Linked DNA regions of Schizosaccharomyces pombe. Changing the gene in region 3 together with the main gene of any one other region gives a genetic interaction. Each region holds a gene or a part of one and is shown on either strand. Other genes may lie near its edges.

Region 1 (5,438 bases), on a different chromosome or scaffold from region 3:
GTCTCAGCATTATACAAGCATATCCTTAAAGATTTTATCAGATACTTCCTTTTATATTAAAAAATGAAAGGTTGTGATTCAAACACGTTGCTTATCATTTAAGATCGTTAGGGAGGGCTATAAACAAAAAATTGGAAACTGAGGATACTTTACAACAGCGCTTTGATCCTTCCCAAAGAAAGATTCATAATTTATTTCCTTTAAATAAGTACTTTTTTTAAAAAGCTTAAACTATTTACGACTAAGTCACTAAAATTCGTAACCAGAAAATCATTAAAAAGCTTTATATAGTGAGGGGTAACGATAAGTAAATCCACCATGCTAATCTAAAAAAATGTACTCGCTAGAGATGCAGAGATAGTTTATATTGAGAATATTCAAAAAAATATTATTTTACTGTTTACCATAGCTTTCGAACATATCACAAAAGAGGGAAAAACCAGAGCCTTTTTATTCAGTGTTAACTGTATTTTGAACTAGCAAGGTTTGACGTTACTCTATTGCTCTTCTCCCTTTAATCTTATTTTGTTTGAGCTTGTCTAAAAAAAAAGGTTTCTCCTCTAATACATTAGAAAAATTTAAACGCTATCATGACAACTTGTTCAATATGCAACGAATCAGAAATAAAATATAAATGCCCGAAGTGTTCATTTCCTTAGTATGTGCTTGTAAGCTCAGAACAATGCATTTTGTTTCAATACACATTAACCCATGAACCAATGCTTTATTCTTTTTTTCTGTTTCCTAAAAATACTAATATAGAATTAATAGTTGTTCATTACCTTGCTGGAAAATCCACCAAAGTCAATGTGAGACTGTAAATGACAATAACACAACAACATTCAAAGGAGTTAAAGAACCTTTAAACCCCCCAGAACCTTCTCCTAATGTTATCTACGTTAATGGAAGAATCCCAAGTTTAGCAGAAGAGGCATTGCCAAGTGAAAGTCTTTTGGAATCTATTGTCGAAGATCCTAGCATAAAAAATTTAATTGAAAGTAATGCCGAGCTTTTACATATAATGAAAGAATTAGTGAACCTTGACCGTGAGGAAGAGGGTTCTGTTCCTCTGAAAACCTTAGATGCTATTCAGCAACAGCGGCTACACAATCCATCTTTCGAAAAACTGGCATCCATGATTCTGGAAAAATATTATGCTCAAAAATAATGGGTTTTATCATTGTAACGAACATTTAGAAGATTCAATTCAAATCGCATATCGGTTATTGGAAGTTGAAATATCAAAGGCGATATTTGAACCAAGGCGAATTGTTTACGAAAGCAACACATCCATTTAAAATTTTTAAAAGTAACAGCGTTTACACGATGTTAATACATAGCAAATACTACTTTTTGGTTTAACTATGAACATTAATATTTATTCAATACAATTTCCTCTCCTGAACCCGTTTATTTTAGTTCGATGTTAAGTATATTGTTCTATACCCTCATAATCTCGTAAACCCCATCAATCTGGTAAGCAAAACAGATCCTTCCGTAGCTATAGCAAGATGTGATCCATCTTGGTGCCAGCAAAAGTCAACGATGGGCATACCTAATTGAATAGGAATTGAATTCGAGTCCTTTTCATATGTATTAATGAGCTGTATTAAGCCGTGCTGAGAATGTGCCGTAGCAAAGTAATCCATGTAACGGGGATGTGGGCAAGCACCAAGCAAGGATGGGAACAATGAAATGCCTTGCACGTTGGGCAGTAGATTTTTGGGTCCCAATTTCATAGTGGAATCCGAGATTTCATTGTAATCGTTATTAGCAAAAAGATTCCAACGAAGCCAAGCCCCACTTTTACACATTGCAAGTATACCGCTTCCATCACTTCCGATCCATCGAACGTTAGCTAAAGAGGAAGCAATGCCGCTACTATGACAGGTGTTAACGAGTGGCAGGGTATTCAAAGTCAAAAGCCATGGATTTTTAACCAACTCGGTTTGAGAATTTTCTTCAGCTGATAAATTCAAAGTCCAGTCAAAAATCCTAATATTACCATTCCTTTCTCCAACAATCAATTGATTAGGATTAGATGGGCGAAATTGGACACTAATACCAGGGGAAGACAATGGGTATCCAGCTAAAATAGGCCCTTCATCAGTCAGTCTCCATATAATCAACGTACAATCGTCGCCCACAGATGCTATCACCTGCTCAGCGAGACGATTATCAGCGGAATAGACGTCTGCAATATCGATATCATTCACAAAATTATGATGCCCAGATTTTCCGCCCAACACATGTTGAGTAATAATGGTTTCATTCTTTGTAATTATTAGACGAACTGTATTATCCTGACACACACATGCAAGAAACAAAGAATACACAGGTGAGGAATTCACATTTCCATCGCCATCATGCAAATTCTCAGAATAACTACAGCTAGATGAAAAAGAAAGATGCAAAGTGGGTAACCCAGTTTGAATAGTGAACAACTCTTGTAATGTCAAACCTGTAGATCCGGGCGTCTGTTCTTCTGAAGCACAATAAATAGTGATACCCGTATCATGGCCTGTATAAGGTTAATCATTAGTTTAAAACGTTTAGAGGAATGCTATTTGAAGATAATTGTTTCATTAGCACTGAGGTTTTCTCAAATATTGTAACTTAGGAAAACAGAAAAGAAGAAATGAGTAATACGTAAATTACCATTCGTCGTAACATTCAGATATCTTACATACCTATGGCAAGAAGATTTGAACAGGAAGGAGACTGGGAACACCAAGTCGTTGTATACGGGCGGACATTAAGAGGCAATCTAATAAACAGAAGTTAGAAAGAGACATAAACGAAATAACGCTGAACGTACTGATACTGGTTAGAGGAAAGAGTCATGACGAAAAATAGTTTTCAAAAAAAACGGAAAGAATGAACGCTTTATTGTGCAGACAATAAAAAGATAAAGAAATTAAAAATGCATTTATATATACAAATGGAAAAAGAGAAGTTTCGGCCACGTTTTCTAGTGATATGGTGTTGCAGGTAACTAGTGGGTTACGTGAATTGGATGAAGCTGAAGAAAACGTTCTACCTTACGGAGCCAAAACTACCACCATTAATTTACAAAAAATCAAACGAAAACCTATACAAAGCAGTTTAGATAATGAAACACGATAAATATAACCATTTTAATGCAATTACTAAAATTTGTACTTATACTAAATATCTTTTAATAATTTAACTTATATTCAATTAACAAATAGAGTGTTTACTAAATACATCAAAATAAAACTATATGTAAAAAAACCAACACGATATTCCACTGATTTATTGCAGAACGAAAAGTAATAATTGCGTTCCGTATGAAGTATACAGCGGTTTTATTCTTTCCAACACGTTCCCCAAGCCAATTACATAAACCGTGACACAGGCTTGTGAATAGTGTGGATAAAAACGAATGTAAAGCATTGTAAACGACAAATGGGGTTTTTTATAGCATAATGATCATTTTAGCAGTCACATCTTCTCGTATAAACCAGATTTTGTGGAGGGAGTAAATGCAGTAAATATTGAAAATTTGAAAAAACCTTCGGAAATCTTAGCTTGGGCATTTCATTCTGAGCCGAAATCTTGGCAACTTCAAAAACCCAAGGGCTATGGCTATTCTTGCTTCAAGACTAGTAAAATATAATACAATCGAGTACTATCATGTTGGTGAATGATATTATGTTATTGACTGTAGAGCGTATATAACATGAGAATGTCACTGTACAATAACGGAATTTATTTACTTTAAAAATGTTGGCAAGTTGCAATACAAATTTGAAATTATTGCTTTGAACAGCCTTTGGGATTTATCGCTATGCTTACAACGAGCGGCATTGAATTTACTGGAGTAGAATGGCATGAATGTGTTTGACCAAAATGAGTATTATTACCATTATCCATTACAATGCCTTTATACAACTATCCGGCCTATAGAATAACAAAATTTAAATTTGACCATAGTAGCTGTTGACAGCATGTGGGCCATAAAGTTTTTACATACAGTCAAGTCCATACTAAGGCTAGCATCGGCAATGCAAAATATGCAGTATCACTGCCACGAATACCAGACTATACAACCGGAATATAATTAACACATCTCGCGATAATCTCATTCTTATTTAAATCATGAAATTTTTTTTTTTTGCTATCATCAAAAATTGAATTTATTTTGTAAATAAAAGCCAGGAACCGTTGAACTATGATTTTTAGTTTATTAACAATCTTCTAGCTTCGTTTTGTAAATCATGCATTGTTCGTTCATATAAATCCAAAAAGAAAGCGATGTTTTCAAACGTGAAGCATCTTTAAAATCATAAAGAGCATCAAGGAGCTTGTATACAAGCTTCCACTCAATACATTAACTCGATTCATTTACAAGGAATCCTCTTTATTCCTTTTTAACACCACCATCACGATTCATCCCCTCACGACGAGTTTCTTCGAGTACGTTTTCCGACCGTTGGCTAAATTCCTCTTTTATTTTCTTACCAGCATCTTTCGCCTTTTGCTGATAGTCGGTATCTTTTGCATCCTTGGCAGTTTGCTTTACCGATTGCTTTGCATTCTCAGCCATTTCCTGTGGTGACTTATCTTTGTTTTCATCTATCTTTTTCGAAGCCTTACCAGTTGCTTTTTTGACAGTTTGACTGATTTTCTCAGGTGCTTCTTCCAGTGTTTCTTTTATATATTGACGAATTGTTGTATTAGCAGGATTGGTTGCCTTCCAAGCGAAAGCAATTCTTGCAGCACGAAACGCCATGTTAACAATATGAAGATAAAAAAAATAAAGCAAAAAATATAAAATTTGTGTAAGTTTTAGTTACCAACGCTAGTGGGTATGAACTAAAACGTTATACTTTATCTGTTTATGGTGCCTTAGCAATTTTCCAATTCTGTTTTCTTTTTCAAGACGAAAAAAATTAAACAACAATAAATATGCTTTATTTGTTGTTATTGAGAAATCGTTTATTTACTTTACCCATACCCTTTGCACTGTATATATAGTACACCCCAGCACTTAAGGATTACATCAATACACATCATCTTGCCATACCCATTTTGCCTCCTCAAAGGACTTTCTCTACGCCGAATTTTGAGCTTAATTGAACTAATTCTGTACGTAAGCGATATCAATTCTGTTTATTTCCCAGTTGTGTCATTGGTATCGTCGAACGTTGCAGTCGTTCGTAATTCTGCAACTGATTGGGAAGAATTTGAGGAATTGTAGATCCCTTTGATGCCTAGCCTAATCAATTTTGATGCTATTAGTTCATTGAAATCCTCTTTGCATGGCTTATCCATATGTGCTTTTAATCATCTACACCATGTACCTCAGCACAATGGCTCATTAGCTCATGAGGGACCTACAAACCAAACTGATTATTCTTCTCGTCATCACGAAAGCCAGTTTTCACAAGAAGCACATGCGGAACAACGTTCGA
Region 2 (5,202 bases), on a different chromosome or scaffold from region 3:
ATTCTCGACCCAGCGTATCCAATGGCTTTGATGATGATTCTTCGTCAAGTGATTTTGCCCATTTCCGATACCAGCGTCGCTCTCGCCCGGTTTCCCCCTGCAGCACTGCACCGAGTAGTCCTACCTTTTCCACTAGGAGCTTTAGTCCCACCCCAGACGTCACACCTCTCGTTACACCGGCACATTCTCCTCGTTTGAGACCCATGGATGATCCATCTTGCGTTCAATTACCTTCTATCCGCTCGCTTTCTCTACGACCTTCTCAAGTTCCGTTAATTCCTCCTTTGAAGTGTGATCCTAACGCCTTTTCCGCGTCTACACCAGCCTCTGGTGCTGTCTCTCGTACTCCATCGTCCGTCTCTCTGAGCTCGCTCTCCAACGTTAATAGCAGCATGCCTCACAAACCTGCATCCCAGTCGAATGTTGGTCCAGTCCGTATATCATCGAATCGACGATCACGCAAGTTCTCCTCTTCTTCGCGTGTGAGTGTCAGCAACCTTTTGGCCGGATCACCGCCATCTCCTTCTTCATCCACAAAGTCGGCGTCGTCTTCCTATTCCACCACCACACCGGCATTTTCAATAGGGCCGTTAACTCCTATGACCAAGCCCTAACCCAATATTTGCGCTGTGAACGCTAGTTACCTTTGCTTCCTTTAAACCATCTAAACACCTTGGTTGTGTGTTATGCTATTTTATAAATTAAGTATTAAATTTTTTATTAGTATCATGAGTCTCGACATTTGAGGTTCCATTGTTCAGTTTTTCTTTTTTTTTTTGTTTTAAATTTTTTTTAAACTTCTTGGCATATAATTAGTAATGTTATTTTGTGTTTATTAGACTGCTTTCATAGGTGAAAATTTATGTTATATGTTTAAATTACTTCTTGATCAGTGTATGGGTACAATAGACCATAAACTAATAAAGTTATTTTTTTTTACCGATGGTGTTTAATCCTTTTTGCTTTTATTTAGCTAAATTTATTGTATATAAAGTTGTCTGCAGATCTTATCAAAAAGTTGAACTGCAGGATCTACATTAATGACTTTAACTAGAACTACAGCAAATTACCATCATAATTTAACGGCAACTTCACAATTCGTATATAGAATTATTATTTTAATTCAGAAACAAACATCTGATATGAGAGACCTTCAAGTCCTAATATTGTCGCCATAGTTAATATTAATACATTACTACATACTTTGTTAAACAATGATTAGTGACAGTTCGTTTCGGATAATTTTATTCATAAACTATAAGTAAGCTATAAACTATTCCTTGTGCATCTCTCAAAAAGAAATCAGAAGTTAATGGAGAACAAAACAGCTTCCACACAGTTAATGATATCCTTGAAAAAATATAGAACACCTTAAAGTATGGGTCAGTAAAACAGCCAACACAAAAGTCAGACAAACAGACGTTGAAAAAGAAAGAAACAAAAGGGAACGAGAAATCTCAGACTGACGTGCAAATCAGATGGAAAAAGTTTCAGCATACGATGCTCAGTTGAACTATGCTTTTTTGGAATCATCAAAGAAATCCTTTCTCCATTTACTTTTCCAAACGTCAATTCTAACAGTAGAAAACTTACCTTAAAAGTATAACATATACTAAATTCACAAGTCTTCAAGCTTGAAATTTAAGTATCCATACACAAAAGCGCAGTCACAGTGATCAAAATTTCGGCTCACAAATGCCCCAGTATTTGTTAGAAATGCAAGAAGATTAATGGAACAAATTTACTTTAATTCTACAGTTTTAAAGATAAAAAAGAAAGTCATAAACTTTCCAATCCCATAATCCAATTTACCAATGAGATGATTATAATTGATGTTTTAAGAAATCGACTCTTTTATCTTTTGTAAATGCTGCTCAGCATTTGAGGCCGTTGTTTCGTGATATGTTTGTTTCTTTTGTAGTGCTTCAATATCTTCTCTTAAACTTGCCATTTCTGCGTCCAAATGTGTACGTACGGAAGCCAAATCGGATTTCATAAACCTGTAAATAAACAGTTAGTAAATGACTTTACATATAGATTGACAGTACGGTCAATTCCATTCCAAAAGTGCTGTTTTTGCTAATTCCGTATTCTTTCCCTATTTTTATAGAAAAGAAAATAAAAATACATGTTTCATTTTATGACACTTACATCTTTCCAAGAGAAGTATATACGGCCTTATCTTCTCCAACATCCTCTAACTCTTTTTTGGCTAATTCACTTATTTTTAGTGCCCGTTCCTTGGCAGCAATCTGTACCATTATGGTCCTCAGTTGTTGCTGTGAATCAACCGCTTTCTCTTGTATTTGACTAGCTAACTAATATGCCCAAAGCTCATTAGTTTACCATGTAACACAGTTAAAAAGAGGGAAATTCCTAACAAAATAATTCTCTTCTCAATGATGAAATACGTACATTTTGCATTATTTAAAGGAAACTTGGGTATATCTCAAGAACTTATTTTTTTTGGATTGAATTGCTCTTTCCAAAATTATGGTACAAAGAATAGTCCTTTTAATACTTTTTTTATAGACAAATCAAGAACTTTTTCAATATATTTGAATATACCACCTTTACAAGTATATCAAGTCTTAGGCAAAATGTTGGTTAGGCCTTAAGTACAAAGCTGGCATGTTACAAGCTACTTTACACTGCTTTTATTATCGGTACGTTTCGCAAATGTGAATTACATAATACGCCACAATTTGTAATAAATATTTTGTGAAATGTTTTGCCATATCCTTAAGTTCTTCCTTACATAAATTGTTGGCGATGGCGTTCACAAACGAATCTTCATTTCATTCCTTCTCTGTTTCAAATTTTTGTGGAAAAAGCATATCCATATTCTTACTAAATCGGATTTCTGGACTTTTCTATTGCTTTGGAAATCCATTATCCTTGTAGTTCACTCATTTGCGCCTCAAATCCTTTATAATTGGAATTGGCTGTTTACATTGATAATTTAGCATTTTTGCATCATACTCAACCCTTTTTTTCTTCTTTTATATTTGAGTTGTTGAATTTTTTTTCAAGTGACTGTAGTTTTTTCAACATTTTCCGTTTATTTATATTAATCCGCCTTTAAAATAATTAAGGCACATTCAAAGACCAATATAGGAAGCAATAACGACATCATGACTGAAAAACACACCCTTCGCCTCGCTGATCCTTCTGCTATTGATTCAATTATTTCTGTTGATGAGTTTCTACAAATCAAGGAACAATACGATGCAGAACAACCTCTGATTACTTTACAAACCAAATTTAACCTTGCTTGGGCATTGGTACGCTCAGATTCTACACAGCATGTACAACAGGGATTATCTTTGTTCTGCAGCATTTACAAAGATTCACCGGAAAGGCGTTTGGAATGCCTCTACTACATTGCTTTGTCCCATTACAAATTGAAGCAGTATGAAGAATCCCGTCGTTATCTCAATATGTTGTTATCCAAAGATCCAAATAGCCCAGAGGCTTTAAAGCTAAAAAACCGTCTTTACGATGCTGTTACAAAAGGTATGTTTATTTTAATAAAACTTAATGAGGTATCACATATGCATGAATGTTGTGTTTATGTTAGAAAGATGCGTTATAAATAATGAAAAGAATCATTACTAACCCGTTTTTAGAAGGATACATTGGAATGGTTGTGGTAGCTGGTGCAGTGGTGTCAGTTGCAGCTCTTGTAGGTTGGGCATCAAAACGGTTGTTTTCAAAGCGTCGTCCTTAAACCGTAAACGATATTAATCACAAGGGAGCTTTCTTTTGCATAAATTCTTCAATTTTTTCTCCTTACGAACAATAGGATTGTGGATGTATCCTTTTCATGAAACGCGTATGAGTTACGAAGGCTTTGGGAGACATTATAGTGTGCACTTTTTTTAGAAAAAGAAGATTATAAATCGAAGCTTGTTGTTTTTATTATATTATCTTTTCTTCTTACCCAGTTGATAGTTCTGAATTCGCTTGTGTTTCTTCTTAACAGCAGGGTAATAAATTTACCTCAAGGAGGTTTTAGATTGTTATAAAAAGAGAGTGAGTATTTATTATAAAAGCTGAATAAGTTCCTCCTTTTATACTAATTCAAAAGTTTTGTATCGATTAAACCAAAAAATATAATGATGGACATTAATGAATGATTTTACAATCCAATTCCCTCTTCCTGTTTGAACAGTTTATTAAGCCCAATAAAGAAAGAAAGAAAGAGTGTACCTTCGTCGATTTTCCAAGAAAACATCCAAAGACTCAAGTATTTGAGATGATGAGCTTTATAAACGAGATTTTGTTAAGACAGACTACGAAGCCTTTCCTCTAGCTTAGCCACTTGAGACTTCCGACCTTCCAAGTGACGTCCCAAAACATTAAGTTGTTGTTCCAGCATTTTTAAGTCATTATCAATGGCGGAAGCGCTGGGGCCATTTGGTCCATCATTTTTTAGAGATTGAAGGATACCCAACTTATAGTCAAGTACTTTCTGTAAATCACGTTGAATAAGCTTTGACTTATTTTGTGCAATGTTAACATCGTCAGTTTCACGTTGAAGGGAAAGAATCTTTTCGTCCAATTTGGACAGCTCATTTCTTAATGAAATCAGCTCCCAGTCAGAGTCTCTCACATCCCTCGGGGCATCAAGATCACTCTTCGGCTTCGCACCACCCGTAGATGGAGCCATTGTAGGTGAAGAGTAATAGTTATTAGTAGAGTTGTAGGAATCTAAATTATAATCGATATTTCCTCTCTTAAAACTAGCCTTTAAACTGTACGGGACATCATTAGGAATACGGAATCCGTTGGATCTCTGAGTAAGGATGTGCAAAAATACTAAACACTGATCTTTCTGTATGGTTTCAGTACCCTGAGGATTGACAAGTTTCCAAGCCTTCTGAATTTGAGAGTTGGGAACCCCAAAAGGAGTAAATACAGGTGCCAGGCCATTAAAAGATACTTCTCCGTGTTTATTGCAATGTAGGGAGTAAATATCGGAATATCGAATTTTATCGGATGGAGAAATGTACCAATCAAATCCATCTTTTAAAACGGCATCTTCCGGGTCGGTATCAAGCGAAGGTACTTTGTGTAAGAGAGCAATATCATCATTTCCACGAAGAGCATCTCGAGCTGCTACTAAATGCTTTTTGGAAGTAGACACCAACGCCTCGGGTACTCTATCTGGAACGGTTTTGTAAACCTAATGGTTAGAAA
Region 3 (5,773 bases):
GCTTTACCAGAGCTGGACAAGGATTTATTAAAATTCGTTTGGGTCGTGGATTTTCCTCTTTTCTCACCAACCGAAGAGAAAAATCAATCTATTACATCTACACATCACCCATTTACTGCTCCTCATTGGGATGATGTACATTTACTGGAAAAAAAGCCTCTTTCTGTTCGTGGACTTCATTATGATATAGTCGTGAATGGTATTGAATTAGGGGGTGGCAGTATTCGCATACACAATCCAGATATTCAAAGATTTGTGCTTAAAGACGTGCTTAAATTACCAGAGAATAGGTATGCTACATTTGAGCATTTAATACGCGTATTGTCTAGTGGCTGTCCACCGCATGGTGGAATTGCATTGGGTTTTGACAGGCTGGCTGCGCTGTTGACGAATGCTCCAGGAATTCGCGAGGTCATTGCTTTTCCGAAAACCTCTTCGGGTGCTGATCTTTTAATTGGCAGCCCGTCTGCTATTCCAGAAGAGATGTTGAAAGACTACAACGTTGCTATTACGCGACAAACTCAAAACCGTAATTAGATAACTTAAGCAAAAACATTAATCATTTAATTTTTTTTATACAAAATTTTAATCTAATGCTCATAAATGGGAACACGACCACGCAACCTCGCGGTCATAAATCGGCTCATTTTAGGTTTTTCATTTCCATTCTCATCCAAAGGTATAACTGCCTGTTCTTCTTCATCCTTAATATATTCACCTGTATTATCTATCATTTTTTTTCTCAGTTCGTAGTAACGTTGTGATATAGCTCGTTGATCACTAATTTCCTCGACTTTCGCATCGAATGCTTCTTTAGACTCGCTAATTTTGTCAGATGGAGTTCGTTCAACTACAAAATCTTTTACTACAGATGGTTCATTTAAATATTCCTTGGAAGTTTCCGAGCTTTTTTCTTTAGGCGGTGCTTTAAGCTCGGATTCTACAGTAGATTTGTCTTCTTCTTTTGGATTTAACTTTGTATTCGCAGCCCGATTATTTAATGTGTTACTCAAATCATCGTTCTTGATTGTACATGTGGCATTAGAATGGTTGCCCTCTTCGTTTTCCTTTGCGCGCAATTTGCTCCTTGCTTTACGAAACGCTGAAATACGACTCTGAAAATCGTCTGGTCCAAAAAGATTATCGTATTCTTCAGTTGGAGCAGGTATAACTTCAATATTCGCCTTTCCACTCCGACTGACGTGTTTAATTTCCAGCGTGTCTGAAAAATGTACCTTTCGAGGATTTTTTGACGAAAGCTCTTCTTGTTCAACGATTTGTGGAAAGTCACTGACATTTAGGCTCTCGTCATTACCATTGACATAAGTTGTAGCACCAGTCTTTTCTGTAAAATATTGAGGATCCGGTGGAGCTTTCAGTTCCTTGGAAAATCCTATCGTCATACCATGTTCATCTTCCTCAGACTCAGAATTATCATCTAATTCGCCTTCCTCCTCCATTTCCTGAATGAGAGCCTCCATATCTTCTAAAGAGTCTAAACCGTCGTATTGTACTGCTTCCAAAACATTTTGTCCTTGCGCAGTCGTCGGAACTGGTAGTAACATCGGTTCTTCTTCGACAATTTTATTGTCGGCATTATCTGGTTCTTCTATACTACTACTTCTAGTTTCGTTTATAGAATGAATAGATTCATTTCCTAGTGAAAGCTTTTCACTAGATGTAGCATGATCTTTGTTGCCAGATTTTTTTGTTTCTAGCTTAGCTTGTTTAAATTTTGAAAGACGCTTAGGTCGTTTTTTATGTTTAGACGTGCTAGTGTTATTATCTTTATTAGATTCCCCAGTATCTTGGGCCTTCGCTGTCGGATGCTCTAACACAATGTCTCGTAAAACTTCATTTTGGGTATCTTGATGTCCATTTTCATTTAAAGTAGAGTTATTGAGAGCATTCAATATCGTTTCTTTATTTTTTTCAATAGCAGAAGCGTTTGACTTTATATTTGAAGTAGTTCTGTTTTGCATTGCATTATTTTTTTTGAAAAGAAAACCCTTTTTAAACAAAGAAGTCTTGCTACCATTTTTAATTTGTTGAACCATATCTGAATCACTCAATGAAGCAGCCTGACTATTACTAATAGGACTCTCATATGTTTTACTGTCTGAATGATCACCATGTTTGCTGGGAAATTCTGAGACACCAAGTGTTGGAGTTGAAGTAAATTCAGTATTAGAAGGTAATGAGCCCATTTCTGGAGCTTTGTAGTTAATATTTTTCGTAGAATCGTTAATTTCTTCTTCAGATAGCTCTTCAATTCTCGAAGATGTATCACGGTTCCCCCCATTTTCAATATTTTTGAAACCAGGAAGGGATCGAAAGACATCCGCATAATCTATTACAGATGAAATTCTTTGTGGAGCAACAGAAGCACTTATAATATTTCCATCTTTATCAACTTCTTCATGAATATCCATAACAGGTAACCCTTCTGAGTTTCTTACTATCAACTCGGATTTCTTCTTTTCAATTGAAGATGCTAAGTCATTATTGTAATTTCCCAAAAGTAAATGAATATGATTTAAGACTGGATTTTCATTAGCAATTAGTCGTTTGATGAAGCAAACATTATCACTCAATTTATAAGAAAAAGTAACGTACAATCCACATGGGATGCTGTTTCACATCCTTCAACTTTTCCATCTTCCTTACAGTAACGGATCGCCCTACCGACTGATTCAGAAATTTCGCTAATCTTAGAGAAGATTTGCTGTTCAAAATTGATGGCTACTAGTCTTTCGTCGTTCATTCGATAAGTTGTTTTAAAGGATCTTAAATAGAGTTATTGAAGAATTTCTAATTCAAAATAATCTCACGCCAACGATCGTTTCGTGGTTATTCCGGAAAAAGGCATATACAGCTTATTCGGGCAAGCTAATATTCACTTTAAAAACGAGATAATAAGTAATTCTAATAAATTTTAAATACTTTTAGTATTTAAATAACAGGGTAACTAATATAATATCGAAAAATCGATGTTAATGGAAATGGCTCAAACTGAGTAGGAAGCCACCGACCTGACCCTAATGTACGTAGAAAGCGCCATACTGCAAATGTCCTAAGCATCTAGTAATTTGGTCCCTTACTTTAAATTTTAATATTTTCTCACTGAAAATAATTTAAGTAAAAGCAAATGCATGTCTTAATCCTATAGGTCCAACAGTTTAAGCAAGTATAAAACATAATTTGAACATTAATGGGGGACTATTTTGCCTGGGATTTTGCAAATATCTCTGGGAGTAATACTTCTGGCTCCTTAAATTTAAATCAGTTGAACTGTAAGCGCTAGCAATGATGGTTGAGTTATAAATCATTCTGAACATCCCAAGCGTAAAATAGCTAACGGATTTTTCTAGTGGACAACATAAATAATGGTTTGCATAATCAGGAGGATGGAGCTGGAGGAAGGAATGAAAATTCTGAAAGAGTTGGAAGCGGGAGTCCTGGAAGTGTTTCCATGCAGGTTTTGTCTCTCTTCAGTGCTGTAAACTCAGCTTTGGCTACTTTGGAAAAATCAGAGGAATTCCCTTCTGTAGTTAAGGATGAACAGTCAATTTTTCCTGCTGTAGCAAAGGCGTCTAATTCGTTGGACGAGCTGGCCCAAAACATAATTCCTGCTCCTTCTCCTCCTGGGTTTAATAGAAAAAGAAAAACCTTTGATGAAGACAGTTCTGTAGAGATGATCCGAAGAGCCATATCAGATCATTTGGATTTACTGAACAATTGTTGTATTGGCATTGCTAATTTGAATGAGGACAGTGTGCACAAAATTTCACTTACACGTTCAGGGAAACCTAGTCAGCTGGTAACAGTTTCGTGTCGACATTCCTCTGTCATACAAAAGTCTTATGGGTCAGAGAAACGTTACCTATGTCCACCCCCTATGGTTTATATTAATGGGAATTACTCTTCTATATTCAATCAGTCTTTTCGCACTGAGATATCAATAATGAATGATTTTGGGCAATGTTCGCAACCCATCAGCGAAGAATACACTGGCCAAGGATGTATGATTTTTCGGTCACTGCATATATCGAGTTTGGTCGCTGCGAAATCTAAAAACTTACGGCTTTCTCTGGACATGTTCTCGAATGTAAATAACCAATTGTTATCTCATTTGGTTACTTCTTCTATTAGTATTGTCTCCAAACCTTCGAAAAAAGGAAGCAAACTAAAAATTAGTAATATTACGTTGCGATCCGGTTCAGTCGTCAGCCTTTATAACCGGATTAATTCACAAACTGTACGTACAAAGTATACATCGATTGAGGCTGGTCAGTTTTGTCTTCGCGGTGATAGATGGGTGCCATTGCGTATTAACCTGCTATTACCAGATGAAAATGGTAAACTGAAGGTATGCGACGATGTCGATAACCCAGAACCCATTAAATATGGCTCCATCGTTGAATTGGTCGATGAAGCAACAGGAACGACGAGTGACCCTTTAATTATTCGACGAGTAGAAAAAGACCACATTGCTGAGGAGGACGGTTACGTTAATCAAATGCATAGAATTGTATTAGAAAGCGCATATCCCATATCAAACGTACGGCATCTTAAGATCGCTGAGCATAGTTCACTGGCATATTCCAATAATATTTCAGTCCGTTGGTTTCTTGGGGCCACGTCGGCACAAAACAGAAATGCATCTAGTGAGGCTATATTGCCCATAGAATGGGAAGCTGTTGGAAACTTGAGTTCAAATGAAATGACTCGAGTTGGAGATTCTGTATGCTGGACTATAGTGGGCATATCACATTTTGACTGTACGATGATGTTACCATTCAATCAAAATCCTGTACCAACGGTTACTGATTATCCATATATTGAAGAGCCACCCGAATATTTGGAGAGCTCGCGCTCATTACAATTTAAAATTGGAGGCTATTCGGTCGGATTACAAATTTGGCTAGGTGTTCATGGACCATTGTCGTATAGTTTTACCGCAGCTGCTGATACGAGTACAATGGGTACGGTCACTCTAGGTCTGTCGCAAATTTCATATGATCCTTCTTGTGCAGAACAAAAGTATCCTTTGTTGTTCGTGATTCCAGGTGGGATTGTCATTATTGGAAAATGCGAGATTTTGCTAACGTCAAGTGCTTTTGGAAACTGATGCATCATGATTAATTTTACGTGTGGTTTCATATGGCGAAATATTGAAATACAATTTGTTTTCAAAATGATGGAATTAGGTTGAAATCTCTCTTATTAAATGAACTTTATATTGTACAAACATCCTAGCTTATGGAAACTCTAACATATAGAAAGCAGCGGAAGCTTTTGATAAGATAATTGAATCGTCGAAAATATGTACTTAATAATTATGATTTTCAAAAGCTGCAAAACAGAAAAACTTTTAATAAACTAGTAAGGTGTCTGTCGAGAGCTGTCGATCATATATTATGTGGACCGTAATCGTTTCTCCTCGGGAGGAGTTGCTGTATCCACTTCCAAATTTAAATATCTTTTATCTGCTTCTCTTAAAATTTTACTATAGCAAATTCCTTCAACTTTTGAAATGCTGTTCTCCATTACTGATAATTTCTGCTGTAATTCTGACTTGACCTTAGATGGTAAGTGTTCAATTTCTGAGCAGTTTTTGTGTAGTCCACGAAGAAATTTAACTTGCTGAGTGAGTTGTTGGACAGAGAACTTAGAGCCGTTGGTTACAAGGAATCTCATTATTTCACCAGTCATGTCACAAACACCGAGTACATAGTCGATGAAATTAATAGAAATTCTAAAGCTACTATCT
Region 4 (5,144 bases), 570 kb from region 3:
TCACCAAATTCTCTCGATTGTTCTCATTCTTTTTGGCATCTTCAAGGGAAACTGTTTCCAGCACTGGTTGCCATAATGCACCCAAAGTATCCATGTCCTGACGAGGTCCAGCCTTCGTTCCAGGAACTGCATCACTGTCGTAATCTGGCAAATCACCCTCACATGCATTCTTTTTCAACTTTAAAAGACATTCATGGATTGCATAGGCAATTTCTGGTCGAGATTCCCCAGAAAGCCCCAAATCGTTGCAGGTTAATACACTAAATTCCTCAGGTGTAAGAGGACTCGTTAAATTCCATTCCACCTGATCATTGTAGCTTAACTGAGCAAGTTGAACTTGGATATTGAATACAACGAGCATTTCCTGCCCCTTTGGCATAGGCACCTCAGCCACCGGTGCATACTCTTCGATTTGTGCACGAATACTGGAACTAATTTGCGTTCCATATACATTCGTAGATAAATCTAAATCGGCACACAAGATTTGAGCAAACACATCCGGTGTCATTACTTGCTCGTTCATGTTCCATAAAAACGTGTCCTTGAGTCGATAATTGTTGGGCAGTTCAATATCCAGCCGTATTGGTATGTATACATCTCGTTCTTCTGCAGCGCATTTAAGCTGTTCGTCTGTAACGTAAATATGTCTTGTTTTAGTCGCGAATCTTGGATAGATGTTGTTTCCGGTTGGTCTGCCAACTGCCAGCCCCCGATCATCCGTTTCGAACTTTTCCTCTTCTTTTTCTGGAGTTTCTACTGGCGTTTCAAAATCCTCACCTTGTTCGAATGCGGCGTAATTAACCGCTGGAACATTTCTCAACGAATTTCTGCCTGTATACGAAGAATGCGACCTAGTCGATACTGCAACATTTTTTTGGATTAAGCATGTATTTCCCGTTTTCAAACGAGATGAGTATGTGGTTTTACAAGCTTGAGCCATGTAAATTGTGAAGTCGGTAGTTTGCACAAGTATGCCAAAAAACACTATGTAAGCCGCAAGTCAATTTACAGTTGGAAGTACTATGTTATGTTTTTATTTATTCTATATGATTGTATTAAACGTAAATTATAATCGAGAGTTCTTTTATCGGCCCTGATTTGGTAGAACCGTTGATAAACGTTTAATACTTCTACATTGCCACTGGACTTTCGAATCACAGAATTTTCAAGGATATCTATACAAAATAAAATAAAAAGTTAATTTAGTAAAATAGTTTGACTCCTTTCGATTTCAGATTCTCCAAAACAAACAGTTGCTGAAGGACAAGTAAGGATGGTTGGGTTAGTACGACAATATTAAGGCAAAGAGTTTATTCCTGCTTTATTTTAAGGATATACTTATAGCTGTTATTCAAATTGAAATACATATATCAATATACCTTGTGAGATTAGAAATAAACGAATATAAAATATAAGAGGTACACTTATTTTGTGCATGACATGAAGAATATTGTAAAAAAGCAAGTAAGGAAACAACCATAAACGTAAAAAGGTAAACATAATAATAAGATTCTATATAGGTCTGCGTAAAAGGCATCACTAAGCGAATAAAGGCGGTTAGTTGAGATCCTCCACTTTTTCATTACGAAATGTAGGTTATGCAACAAAGGAAGTTGAGATTTTATCTTCAAAAGAAGCTAAATTATCTCTTTGTTTCTCTCCGTCCTTTTTATCACGGGATTTTTCACGGTCCTCTAATTGAGCTCGAAGATCCCTAGCAATATTTCGCAGCATGGCATATCCAAGATGCATTTTTCCTGAGAAGTGATCAGCTAAACGACGATCGTTGTCTAATCTTGAAAGATAAGCGCTACAAATATCACATACTTGTAGCTTTTGATGCGTTGTGCTAGCCTGACTGGGAATTTCATTCATGGAAATCACTTCATCATATAATTCTTTCCTGTATGTCTTCAACCTATTAAGCTCAATAAAATGTTTAACTGCATCATTCACTAATTTTCTTTTTGCAAGCGCCTCCATTTCTGTAATAATAACTTCAATTGAATGGTCGGTATGTATTATATCTCGCATTAGCTCATCTATCCGTTCTTCCTCCTCTTTTGTTTTTTCTCTACGAGCTTCAGCAATATCAATACGCTTATTACAGTCATCAACATGTCTTTCTAGGTCTTCCAGATAATCCCACTCGTAGCCATAGTCATGTGAATAACTAGCCCGTTCATAATCCGACTTCAACTTGTCACTGTGGATCTTTGGACAAGGCCCCAAATCCATTTTAGTATTTGTAAATATATCATGAGGACAAATACCACATAAAAAGCTTCTGCAAACTTTGCGATCAGTGAAATGTACTAGGCCTCGAGAGGTAAAGTTACTCAAATTACTGCCCATCAACTGTTCTATGATTTTCCTCTGTTCAGCGGCCATAATAAGTGTATTTTCGGCAAAATGTAATTTTATCTCTGCTGATGTCCTATTTGTGGGTTTTCGACAAACGCTGTAAAATGAATAGAAAATTTCACTAGGTTTTACAAGTAGTATAAAGAATTTTTTCCTTTATTCACAATTAAATCAAAATTAAAGTTTACAATCGCTCAAATTTGATTGAGATGTAATTTGAGTAGCTTGTTGGGTTAAAATTCAAAAAAAAATTTCCCGGAAAAGTTCAAAAGTTGCTATTTCTAAATCGTTAAATATAGACGAGGCAATATATTGATACTTTATTCTTTCGATTAGATCAACTTTTACAAATTGTTGTTGAAAACTCAAACTTGACAGAGGGCAGCAATATGCGTCACCTGTATAAATCCTTTTTCACCATTTGGTACAACAAGTTTACTTAAACCAACAACTCCATTCCCCCAATTTTTTGCAATTTATAAGAGTGGAACTTGAAGAAACAAAAATATAACGAATAAATGACCATGTTTTGAGAATGGCATCAACTGCTACTCAAAACGCAAGCACTCGATATTCCCAAATTTGGATCGACCAACCTGCTTCATTGCCGTTCCAAGATTCGATAAATTTAATTAAAGAGGATAAAGAAAAATGGAAAAAAGAAAAAACTGCCTTTTTAATTGACTATGACTGGTTCGAAGGATACGTTGACTTTATATATGGAGAAGGCGACAACCCTGGTCCTATAACTCAATGGAGGCTGCTGGATGAAAAAAACGAGCTTAAACATTCTTTGGAGGAATCTATTGATTATAGCATTGTCTCTGCTTCGCTATGGCATATGCTTGTTGAGTGGTATGAATTTTCTTTAAAGGTCTCTACAGTACTTGTAAAAGGCATTATTAATTAAATTCAAAACTCATATTCATATATGTTTTGAAAGCATTGTGTCTTAGTTTTGAATATTTCATTAATTTATGTAGTTTGCATTACTTCCCACGGTGCCTAAATATATAGGTTCCCTTGGATTTTGAGGCCTCTTTTCAATTCCCATTATGTTATTAGCTAACTCAAATATAGGTTTGGATTAGAAGGTCTAGCTATAGAGCGAAAAGTTCTTTTGGTAGGATTGGCTGCTGAGCAAAAGCCATTCGTAGATATCTATCCTATAAACTTTACTTTGCACGTTTTATTCGACCCAATAAACGGTGAAAACACGAGCTATTCACCATTATACCAAATTGATGAACCATATCATAGTGATGAACCCTATGCGTTTAGCTTTTCCCGAAGTGATACCCTTCGGTCTTTGTACAAACAAGTGATGGAAGCTTTCCAAATATCTGATGGTACTTCTTTCCGTTTATGGTATCTAAACAAAAGTAATCTATCTTCTAGGTTTGTAAGTTTGTCGGAGTTCAATGATCAACCTGCGATTGCTTTGCTTTCCGAGTATGCTGTTTGCATGACTATTTTCGAAATAGATATTGCCGATGGAAGCTTATTGCTCGAGTTTCAACATCCTAACGGAGAGTGGTTATCTGACTCTATAACCAAAGAGCAAAATTTAACAATAAATAAAGAAATCGGACTCTGCGGTCTTTACAATTTGGGTAATTCATGCTATATGAATTCTGCCCTTCAATGTATGATACATACACACGAACTTACAAAATATTTTCTTAGTGATTCTTATGAAAAGGATATTAATTACAACAATCCGTTGGGAATGATGGGGAAAGTTGCCTTGTCTTATGCTAGTCTACTGAAGATGATCCATCATACTGCTGATATGCACTCGGTGTCACCTAGTTCTTTCAAATTTATAATTGGCGAGTTTAATACCTATTTTTCTGGATATCGTCAGCAAGATTCTCAGGAATTCATCGCCTTTTTCTTAGACGGGTTACACGAAGATTTGAATCGAATTCAGATAAAACCATACTTTGAAAGGCCAGATTTATTTGACGAACACCCATTACATGTTCAGAGAGTTGCAAATCAATGTTGGGATATTCATACAAAACGAAATGATTCCATAATTGTTCAGTTGTTTCAAGGAATGTATAAAAGCACCTTAGAGTGCTCCATATGCTATCAAAAATCAACTGCGTTTGATCCGTTCATGTATCTTACTCTTCCACTTCCTACTAGTGCAAAATGGCGACACAAGGTAGTGTACGTCCCGCCATTTGGCACACAGAGTCCTGTGGAATTGTATTTGGAGCTTCTCATGGAAAGTACGGTAATCCAAATGAAGTTTCAAGCTACGGAAAAGCTTCAAAAGATGGGACTCGAATGCGGGGAACTTACTGCTTGTGACATTTATCGGGGAAAGGTGTACAAGGTATTGAAAAATAAAGACAAAATATCTAAAAAAATTCATAAATGGGATCATGTTGTACTTTATGGAAGTACTGCAAACGGATTAACAATACCTATCGTCCATGGATGTAAACGACCGGCAATGCCCGGATCATACCAGTCTAACGATGTGTTTGGATTTCCTTTACAACTCAACGTCCGTTCTCGAAATGTACTCACAAATGATTTAGTGAAAGAGATTGTCGAACTGTATCGAGTTTATGCAGGCATAGACGTAGCAATCGGAACTCTTCAGCTTGGACTGAAGCGGATGGAAAGTAAGGCCGGGAAATGGGAATGCATAAAGGAAATTGAGGTTAAAAGGTTTGAAATAGTGGAGGAAGAGGAAATCGTTATTGACGACAAAACTGTAATTATGTGTCTATGGAACGATCAACAATATGAAAAGTTATTTT

What was found.
Region 1: mutations in uri1 (region 3) and nup37 together harm fitness more than expected from each alone (negative genetic interaction), as found in Schizosaccharomyces pombe (one large-scale study listed by BioGRID).
Region 2: mutations in uri1 (region 3) and pfd1 together harm fitness more than expected from each alone (negative genetic interaction), as found in Schizosaccharomyces pombe (one large-scale study listed by BioGRID).
Region 4: mutations in uri1 (region 3) and luc7 together harm fitness more than expected from each alone (negative genetic interaction), as found in Schizosaccharomyces pombe (one large-scale study listed by BioGRID).

Annotation. Positions count from the first base shown.
Region 1 is NC_003424.3:4,867,906-4,873,343, reverse strand, and holds nup37 (nucleoporin), read right to left. Parts: upstream 3,001-5,438; 5' UTR 2,845-3,000; coding exon 2,819-2,844; exon of another isoform or gene 2,768-2,818; coding exon 2,691-2,767; exon of another isoform or gene 2,618-2,690; intron 2,522-2,617; coding exon 1,449-2,521; 3' UTR 1,318-1,448; downstream 1-1,317. Other genes in the region: hit1 (HIT zinc finger domain-containing protein), read left to right, coding at 591-658, 772-1,168; SPOM_SPAC4F10.17 (uncharacterized protein), read right to left, coding at 4,385-4,756; SPOM_SPAC4F10.16C (P-type ATPase), read left to right, coding at 5,234-5,438.
Region 2 is NC_003423.3:1,754,673-1,759,874, forward strand, and holds pfd1 (prefoldin subunit 1), read right to left. Parts: upstream 2,587-5,202; 5' UTR 2,425-2,586; coding exon 2,416-2,424; exon of another isoform or gene 2,319-2,415; coding exon 2,152-2,318; exon of another isoform or gene 2,001-2,151; coding exon 1,838-2,000; 3' UTR 1,594-1,837; intron 1,551-1,593; exon of another isoform or gene 1,450-1,550; intron 1,371-1,449; 3' UTR 1,229-1,370; downstream 1-1,228. Other genes in the region: DNA-binding transcription repressor, glucose sensing, Scr1, read left to right, coding at 1-614; protein Fis1, read left to right, coding at 3,135-3,516, 3,630-3,730; actin cortical patch component End3, read right to left, coding at 4,286-5,188.
Region 3 is NC_003421.2:324,331-330,103, forward strand, and holds uri1 (prefoldin-like protein), read right to left. Parts: upstream 2,765-5,773; coding exon 2,617-2,764; intron 2,543-2,616; coding exon 591-2,542; 3' UTR 538-590; downstream 1-537. Other genes in the region: dar2 (aspartate--tRNA (Asp) ligase), read left to right, coding at 1-537; DNA-binding transcription factor, CBF1/Su(H)/LAG-1 family Cbf11, read left to right, coding at 3,212-3,293, 3,372-5,131; tfx1 (translin family protein), read right to left, coding at 5,419-5,773.
Region 4 is NC_003421.2:889,967-895,110, reverse strand, and holds luc7 (U1 snRNP-associated protein Luc7), read right to left. Parts: upstream 2,600-5,144; 5' UTR 2,392-2,599; coding exon 1,597-2,391; 3' UTR 1,275-1,596; downstream 1-1,274. Other genes in the region: RSC complex subunit Sfh1, read right to left, coding at 1-940; ubiquitin hydrolase Ubp1, read left to right, coding at 2,900-3,219, 3,445-5,144. UniProt on the Schizosaccharomyces pombe protein: Component of the U1 snRNP particle, which recognizes and binds the 5'-splice site of pre-mRNA. Together with other non-snRNP factors, U1 snRNP forms the spliceosomal commitment complex, that targets pre-mRNA to the splicing pathway.